2 linked regions of the Canis lupus familiaris genome follow. The protein of the gene in region 2 purifies or fractionates together with the protein of the main gene of each other region. This does not show direct contact. Links are inferred from orthologs where the notes say so. Each region holds a gene or a part of one and is shown on either strand. Other genes may lie near its edges.

What was found.
Region 1: the proteins of VASP (region 2) and PFN1 purify together in Homo sapiens (affinity purification with western blotting; 3 studies listed by BioGRID and IntAct, with this or other methods). This does not show direct contact. The link is inferred for Canis lupus familiaris from reciprocal best matches to the Homo sapiens genes VASP and PFN1.

The regions. Positions count from the first base shown.
Region 1 is NC_049226.1:31,874,060-31,878,361, reverse strand, and holds PFN1 (profilin-1), read right to left. Parts: upstream 2,979-4,302; 5' UTR 2,827-2,978; coding exon 2,695-2,826; intron 1,416-2,694; coding exon 1,223-1,415; intron 672-1,222; coding exon 574-671; 3' UTR 318-573; downstream 1-317. UniProt on the Homo sapiens protein: Binds to actin and affects the structure of the cytoskeleton. At high concentrations, profilin prevents the polymerization of actin, whereas it enhances it at low concentrations. By binding to PIP2, it inhibits the formation of IP3 and DG.
Region 2 is NC_049222.1:110,771,652-110,775,922, forward strand, and holds the start of VASP (vasodilator-stimulated phosphoprotein), read right to left. Parts: upstream 3,096-4,271; 5' UTR 3,051-3,095; coding exon 3,046-3,050; intron 1-3,045. UniProt on the Homo sapiens protein: Ena/VASP proteins are actin-associated proteins involved in a range of processes dependent on cytoskeleton remodeling and cell polarity such as axon guidance, lamellipodial and filopodial dynamics, platelet activation and cell migration.

The sequences.
Region 1 (4,302 bases), on a different chromosome or scaffold from region 2:
AGCAGGCATATACTGTGACTCAGAGAGGGGGAGCCCCACCCACACAGGGATGACTCAACTGGTCCTGCCTTGCCCGCAGGCCTGGACCCATTCTCTGGTCCAGCTCTTTTCCATTATCTACCAAGACCTAGGGCTGTGCCACCTGACCAGGTGGGCCTCTGGCAGGTGCTGCTTTACCCCCTGGGCAGGACTCAAGAAGCCCAAATGCCTAGACTTTGGAGTGCCCTTGACTCCCTAACCCGCAGCCAAGATAGAGGTGACAGGTCATGGGAACTGTCCACCCCGACACCCAGGCCAAACCACACAGCACCTTGTTAGTAGAATCTTTTTTATTCAGAAAAAAAAAAAAAAAAAAAAACCAAAAAACAAAAAAGTTTTCCAACCACACACAGGAGGGGTTTGGGTAGGGGGAGGTGTCTGTCCATCCAGCCCCAGCCCCCAGCCCATGTGGTTTTGGCAGCAATAAGGGGTGTGGGGTAATGGCCCAAAAAATAAAAATGGTGTACGTGTGTGTATGGGGAGGAGAGGGGTGCAAAAGCAGTGGGGAGTGGTAGGGGGCGGGGACAGACGAGGTCAGTACTGGGAACGCCGCAGGTGGGAAGCCATTTCATAACATTTCTTGTTGATCATACCACCGTGGACACCTTCTTTGCCCATCAGCAGGACTAGCGCTGGAGGAAAGAGAATGGAGGCTAGGACCCAGGTGTCACAACCCACCCCCTGCCAGCTGTTGAGCAGCTGTCCAGCCCTGGGGGCTGTAACCCAACCTCCTCTCTCCCAACCCCCCCAACACACAGGCAGGCTGTCAGTCACTTTGAAACAATGGGGCTTTTCAGGAGAGGGAATCAAGCTTAGGGCTCCAGAGGGTGAAACGGGTGAAACTAATTTAGGGACCAGGGATTCAGGCTCGGAGTAATAAGCACAGTGGGGCTTATTACCCCAAGGCCTAACAGAGTTCAGAAGACACCCAGTCTTTTGGCCATCAGTCTACCCTTTCCCAGAAATCAGGGTTTCTGCCCCCTAGAAGGCTCAGGCCAGGAAGGAACAGAAGAGGTAATGCAGTTCAAGTTCTATTAGGAGATGAGGAACTGAGGAGTGGAGGAAGCACCCAGCGGCCTGTGATCTCCTAGTACTGGGGAGCCACAAAGGAAACCCCAGAGGCTAACAGGTTCATGAGGGGACATCGGAGGCCGGGAGGCAGTCAGGGGTCACAGAAACTCACTCTTGGCAGTCATGGTGACAGTGATGTTGAAAGTGGGCGCTCCACCGCTGCTCTTGGTACGAAGGTCCATAGTAAACTCCCCATCCTGCAGCAGCGAGTCCCGGATCACAGAACACTTCTGGCCTCCCAGTGTCAGCCCGTTCACGAAAAAACTCGACCGGTCTTTGCCAACCAGGACACCGACCTCAGCTGGCTGCAAGGGGAAGGCAGCGGCCGTCAGCGTCAGGATCCCCCGGTTTCCCCCTGCCCTGCACCGCGCCCCACATGGGGTGTATGCCGTCTGCTTTGTGCACACGTGTGGAAACCGACAAACTCCTAAGAGACTGCTGAGACACGGGGAGACCATATCCCAGGTTGGTGTCATCCCACGGGGAACACACACCCAGGGAACGGGGCGGGGGCGAAGCCGGAGCGGACAGTGGCATGGCAGAGCCGGGTAGCCCATGGACGCGCACCACGCTCCTCCAGGAAAAGCAGAAGCGTGGAGGGGAAGGGAGGGGGCGGGCGGAGCAGGAGGCAACTTTGTCCTTATTTGGTCAAAGGTTCTGCAGGAGCCGCGAGGGGCCCGGACGCCTGGGTCTCCGGGCGCCGAGTCCAGGGCAGGGGCGCGGTCCCCAGACCAGCGAGCCGACCCCGGGGGCCCTCCGGGAAAGTTGGCCAAGTTGGCACGGCGGTGCGGGACTGCGGCCGGCCAGACCCGGGTCCACGGACCCCAGGGAACCTCTCCCCTCCCCCGAACACCCCAAACCCCCACATCCGGTCCCCTCCCGCCCGGAAATCCCCTTCCCCCCCTCCCGCACTTCCGCTCCCCCTCCCCACTTCCGGGCAGCGCGGACAGGGGAGGTGGTGATGGGGACGGCGGCAGGCATCCCTCCTTCCACAAGTCGCGCGGCCCTGCAACTTCTCCCGAAGTTCCCCCGCGCCGGGCCCTGCCGGATGGCGGGAAGGGAGGGCAAGGGGACTTCCGGGCCGGGGCTCAGGGAGCGCGGCGCGCCGACTTGGGGGGGCGTGGGGCGGCCTCGCCCTCCGTAACGGGGCCGGGCGGGGCGGGGGCCGGGGCGGCCGGGCGGCCTCCCGCGGGGAGGGGCGGGGAGAAGAGACCGAAGAGGAACAATGGTGGCGGGGCCGGGGTCCCCGCTCCCGCCTGGTGCCCGGCCCCGGCGCAACCCGCCGCGCCTGCCCGCCCCGCCCTGGACCAGGCGGAAGTGGGCCTCCGCACCGGGCGGCGCGCCCCTCCCCGCCCTGTGCCCCGGATGTAACGCCCCGGCGCGGAGAGCGGGGCGGCGGGAGGGATGGGCGCCGCCGCCGCCCGGAGCGAGGGCCGGGGACCTCGGGGGGGCCTGTTCAAGTGCGCTCGCCGTCCGCCGCCTCCGGGCGAGGACCCGGTCGCGGCCCTCGGCCGCCCTGCCCCGACCGCCCCCGCCCCGCCCCGAGCCGGCCGGTGCCCCGGGGGCGCGCGGGCCCCGTACTACCGTGATGTTGACGAAGGTCTTCCCGGGGACGGCGGCCCACACGGAGGGCGAGTCCTTATAGCCCACGATGGCCGCGTCCTGACAGGTCCCGTCCGCCATGAGGTTGTCGATGTAGGCGTTCCAGCCGGCCATGGCTGCTGCGGGGCTGCTGCGGGGCTGCTGCGGGGGCCACGGACTGGGCTCGGGGCCTCGGGCTGGCGGGCGGGGGGCGGCGGAGAGCTCGGGGCACGCGCTGCCGTCCGGACCGCGGCTCTGCTCGCTGTGCAGCAGCCCTCGCACCGCCACTTCCTGCTCCTCCCCCCCCCCTAGATTTTTATTTGCAAAGGGCGGCAGGGGCGGGGCCTGCTCCCTTTCCTCCCTCCCCCCTCGCCTGCCCAGATACCGAACTTTGCAAAAGACGATTTTAAAAATCCCTCCCCCTATTGCAAAATTTGCAGAGTTGGGTGGAAAGCTCTGTAAAAGGATGGAGGGTGGGGTGATGGTGGTTGGGGGGAGTGCGGGTGGCAGGGGGAAGTTCGGGTCAGGGCCCGCTCCGCTTCGCCTTGAATACAAACGGGACTGTGGTGCCGGGGAAGGGAGCGAGCCCGAGGGAGGAAAGGATGCGAAAGCCGGCGGACGGGCGAGCCGCGCGCGGGGCCGGCGGGGGGTGCGGGGCGCTCAGGGTTAAATGGAACGGCTGCCCCTCCCCCACCCCTGCCGGAGGGCAGGAGCGGCGGCGGCGGCGCGTGCGTCCGCGCCTGCGCCGGGCCGGGCAGGAGGGCGGGAGGGCGCGGGGCGGTTGGGGCCGGCGGCCCGCGGCGCGGGAGCGGGGTGCGCGCGGCGGCACCCCACCCCCCAGAGGCGGGCGGGCCGGGGACGTGTCTCCCGCGGGGCGGAAGGGGCGGGCACGCGGCTCGCTCTCTATTTTATTCAGTCACGACTTGCGGGAGCCCCGGGTCGCGAGGACAGATGGGCCCGGCCGCCCTCAAGAGTCCAAGGCGTCCACCGGGAAGGGGGGGCACGAGTGTCTCCAGTATCTGCCCGACAGACACGTGCAGGAGCAGCCCCCCCCCCAGGCAGGCCCAAGCCCCACGTCCCCGCCCCCCGCTGCCAGCACTTTGGGTCACCGGCCGTGCCCCTTGGCCCGGCGCGGCCGAGGTCACTGGGCGCGGGAGGCAGGGGCGGGACTACTTCTCGGGGCGGAAGGACACGGGGAGGTGGCCAGATTTGCAACTTTTCCAAGAGGGGGAAAGTCCCCTCCCGCTCGGGCCCCTCGGGCTCTTTCTTCTTCTTTTCGGGGAAACTTGTGCTGGGAAGCTTTGCGCGCGGCTCTCGCCGGGCGCCCCGCGGGCAAGGGAGGGAAGGGCAGGGCCCCGCGGCCGCCCAGGTGGGGCTGCCGAGGGTCTGGGCCGCTTCCGGGCCCCCACGCCCCCCGAGCCCGTTCCTCGACAGCCGCGCCGCTGAGTCACCCGGCCGCTCGGGCGGGGCGCGCTCGGGCACGTGGCGGCGCTCCCCGCCCGCTGGCTGCTGACCTCTGCCCGCCGCACCCCCGACCCCGGGGTGGAAAAGTCCGGGAGGGCGCGGCCGGAGCCGGCGGGCGTGGAGGGTCAGGGCCGGAGCCCCGAGGTG
Region 2 (4,271 bases):
GTCTCTCTAAACCATAAAACTGGGATCCCTGGGTGGCGCAGCGGTTTGGCGCCTGCCTTTGGCCCAGGGCGCGATCCTGGAGACCCTGGATCGAATCCCACGTCAGGCTCCCGGTGCATGGAGCCTGCTTCTCCCTCTGCCTGTGTCTCTGCCCCTCTCTCTCTCTCTCTGTGACTATCATAAATAAATAAATAAATAAATAAATAAATAAATAAATAAATAAATAAATTTAAAAATAAAAATAAATAAATAAACCATAAAACTTGTAATCCACTCCCTGCAAACCCCCATGCACACACCAACTATAACCCTTCCAAAACTGCAAGTCTTTGAAGCAACCTTGTACAAAGAACCAGATCTATGGGCTTTGGGTTTGTGTGGGTTCACTCTAGCTGCTCCTTCCCTATAAGCCTCAGTTTCCCATAAATGAACAGAAAGGTAAAAGATTCTTCTTGCTTATCTGCATTATCTTAAGTGTTCACATAGTGCAAACATGTTACTTGTTTTTTTTTTTTTTAATACCATTAAAACGTTTTATTTTCCTTTTTCTGTAATAGCATCGTAGTCTGGAGACTGCCCTAAATTCAAATCTAGAGCTGCCTACTTCCAAACTGACTTGAATAGGTTATTTGCTTAATTTTTCTGTGTCTCAGTTGACCCATGGAGGTGGGGCAGTCAGAATAATACAGTGCCTGGCACAGAGCACATGTTTGATCAGATGGTCTCTTATTATTATTTAAAAAACAACAACTTTGTAAGGTAATAATAATTACCATTCCTGGAAGAGGAAAGAAATGGACCTAAATACCGCTTGCAGCCCTCTGCCCTGAGATTCTCAGACCTCTGCCCCCTCTCTGAGCCTTCCCAGAATCCCAGCTGAGTCTCGCACACAGCAGACACTTAACAAATATTTGTCAAACTGGGAGAAAAAGAACTATATCTTGTAACTTTCCATTTTAACATCCTCTCTTCGCCCAGCCAAAGCAGACAGAAGTCAAGTCGCAGGATCCCAGTCCCCTCCCCTCCCTCAACACTGCCTGAGGGATCTAGGGCGAGCCTCAGTTTCCCTGGCTGCCCTCATGCAGGGGCAGGGGTCTTTTGGAATCCTAGAGGTCCTGGAAGAGGGGGCGCAGCGAGTTGGGCGTGGCCATCAGCAGGGAAGACCCCCTGGGGAGGTGCGAGTGACCCTCCGGTGGGAGGCCCAGCAGTTCAACCCCTGCCCACCGCCCCCCCACCCCCCAGGAGGTGGGAGCTTTGGCCGCGGCCAACAGTAGGGGGACCCTGTGGGAGGGCGAAGGCCTCCGGGCCTGGGGGAGGGGGGGCGGGAGGCCGGCCCAGACACTGCTCCTGCCCTTTTACGGTCTCACAGTGAGTGAGGCAGCACTAACTCGGACATCCGCCATCCGCCTTCCACGGTGCCTGGGACCGGAAACGCGAGGGGGGGCGGGGGGCGGGGCGGGGGGGCAGCCGTGGGAGAGGAGGGTCCCCTGGGAAGAGGGTGAGGGAAGAGAGCCTGGCTCCCCCCAAAATGCCCCCTCTCCGGGGCAGGCCTCGGAGGGATGTGGCTATAATGGGGGGTAGGTAGGCGGGAGACCTCGAGGGTGGGTGTCCGTGGGTGCCCCCTCACTCCAAAATGCTCCAACACTTTCACATCAGAAGGAACACAGGCGGAGGGGGTCTCTAATGGTCCTAAAGGGCAATGCGACTCTTGATGTCAGAGGGCAGGGGCGTGTGGGGGTAGTGGGAGGATGTGGGCACCAGGGGGTTAATCCCCAGTCCTCCTCGGGGGGCCTCCCCCTCAAGCTGGGGGCTTTGGGGGCAGGAAGTCCCTGAGAGAGTGGAGGAAGGGAGATAGTATTGTCAGGCTCGGGCCCCAAGGGAGAGATTATGGGGGGCCAGGGGGAGGGGAGAGTGGGGGAGGGTCTACTCCGGTCTCCCAGCCCGCCCCGGCCCCGCCCTCAGGTGAGCCCAGGAGTTCTGAGGTCCGACCCGGTAAGACAAAAATCCCTGGGTCCTCTGGGCCCCCCAACCCCAGGATTAAATTCCTGGGAAGGTGTCTGGGACTGTCTTGGGAGCCTGGGTCCCAGGGGGAGAGGGCTATGACCTTGAAGCTTTTTACAGCGCCCCCCCCCCCACCCCACGGCTCTGGAGGGCCGGGTAGGGGGGCGGTGGTGAGAGCAAGGGGCGGCGCGTGGTGGGGAAAGCAGCCGGCCCACTGCACTCCTTGCCCGCCCCCCCAACACCAGCTGTCTCGACAGGTGAGTCAGGAAGACAAAGGCCCCTCTTCCCGCAGCTGCCGCGCCCCCTCCCTCCCCAGGACGCACAGGTGGGGGCGCGGGGCCGCCCTCCTGGCCCCGGGCCGGGGAGCCGCCCTCCGCGCCGAGCCCTGGAGCTCCGTCCTAGGCACCGCTTGTTTTAAACAGAAGGTGGGTGGGGAGCGGCGGGGGAGGGGAGTCCCAACCAGACCCTCGAGGCTGTCCGGGTCCGTGGGTTCGTCTGCACTCACCTCCACCGGAGGACGAGAGCCCCCCGAAATTTAAGGGGTTAAGTGCCCCCGAAGTTAAGAAGCGAGGTCCCACTTGGGAAGGCTTTTTCCAGCGCCACGTAAAAGCAGACCCGGCAAACCAAGGTCTACGTCCCGAATCTCTCTTCCAGGTCCCAGGAACCCCCAACCCGGTCCCCTCAATCCCTCCCGGAGCCCGAGTTGAGATTTTTGGGGGGGTAGTCTGAGCCCTGCCTTAATTCTGGCCTCCATGCTGGCAGGATCTGGCAACTTGGAGGTTCTCTGAAAAAGTCTTTAAGAAATTCGGGAGTCCTCGGGGCGCCCCCAAATCTGAGGGCTTCCGAGAGAACCTCTGAGGCACCACCCGAGCCTTAGGAGTCATGGCGAAGCGGTCAGTATTTGGAACTCGTCCAAGGGGGCTCGGCCTCAAATCCGAGGCCCCCAGTGCCCTGTCCCCAAATTCCAGCTGGGGGAGGGGGACAAAGGCGGGGCGGGGAGCCCGCGCGGAGCGCGGAAGGGTTTGGAGGCAGTTCGAGGCTCACCTCATGGCTGCTCAGCGGGAGGGCGGCGCACCCACGGGTGGGTGCTCCCGGGGCGCCCCTGGCTCAAGGTTCAGGGGTTCGGGGCTGGCTCCAGGTTCTGCTCAGTCTCCCCCAGGGTCCCGCCCCATAGAGTCCGGCTTCCTGGGGGGGAACGTGGACGGGGCCGGGGCGGGTCCTCAGGCGCCTCCTCCCTCTGGAGGTTTGATCGGGGGTCCCTGCGGCAGAAAGGGGGTGCGGCGTCCCGTCCCCGGCGCGCCCCCTCGGCCGGCGGCGGGTACAATGTTACTCTTACTACTGTACTTCTCTTCGCTACATTTCGTTCCAAAATTCCACTCCCCGCACCCACAATGCCCTGCGCCTTAAAGGGGCCGCGGACACCTCTAGGCGGTGGGGGGGGTGAAGGGCGCTTAAAAGGGCAACGCGGAACCCTACACTTCCGCTATTTACCTCTTCCCCAACGTTAGAGAAATGGGGATGCACGCTGAGGGTCACCCCCAAATTAGGGGGTAGGTCTGGTGGAGGGCAAGGGATCCTTCCTGATCGCTCATTCGCTCCTACGATGGAAATTCTTAGGAGGATCTTAATGGGGACAATTCCTGCTCACCCTCCCCAACGACTTCTCCATTTCTTCACGTTCTGCTCAATTTGGGGGGTGGGCGCGAAGACGATCCTCTGGTTAAGCATAGATTCTCTCAAATTTTCCCCCTTAAATGATACCTTAAATGCTACCCCCAGCGTCTCTCTTCTCTGCTAATATATGAAAGGTGACTAAGGGATGAACCCCTTTCCCCAGCACAGGGGGGGGTGGGCGGGGAGGGCCCCATCCCTCTCGCCGCCCCCCGCCCGCCCCAGGAAGGTGAGGAGGAAGTGGGCCGAGGGGGCGCGGCCGGCCGCTGACTCACTGCCTGGGGGTGGGGGTGGGGGTGGGGGCGGGGGCAGGGGTGAGGGTGCGGCGCTGCCCCTGGGTGCGGATGGGACTCCAGGTTCCTGTGTGGTTAAAACCCCTGGAACCTCTCCCCACGCACCCCCGCCGTGACTCAGTTTCGCCCGCAGAGGATGGCGGGATCATCCAGCAATAGGAGGGCGCGGAGGCAGGGGCACCCACCCACCTGGTGCTGGCTCCTAGGAACCCCCTCCCCCACGCAGTAGCTTGGGTCTGAGGCCCAAACACCCTCCCAAGCTTCCGCAGCGGGTCCCGCAGGCCCCGCCCCATGTGACTCCACTGG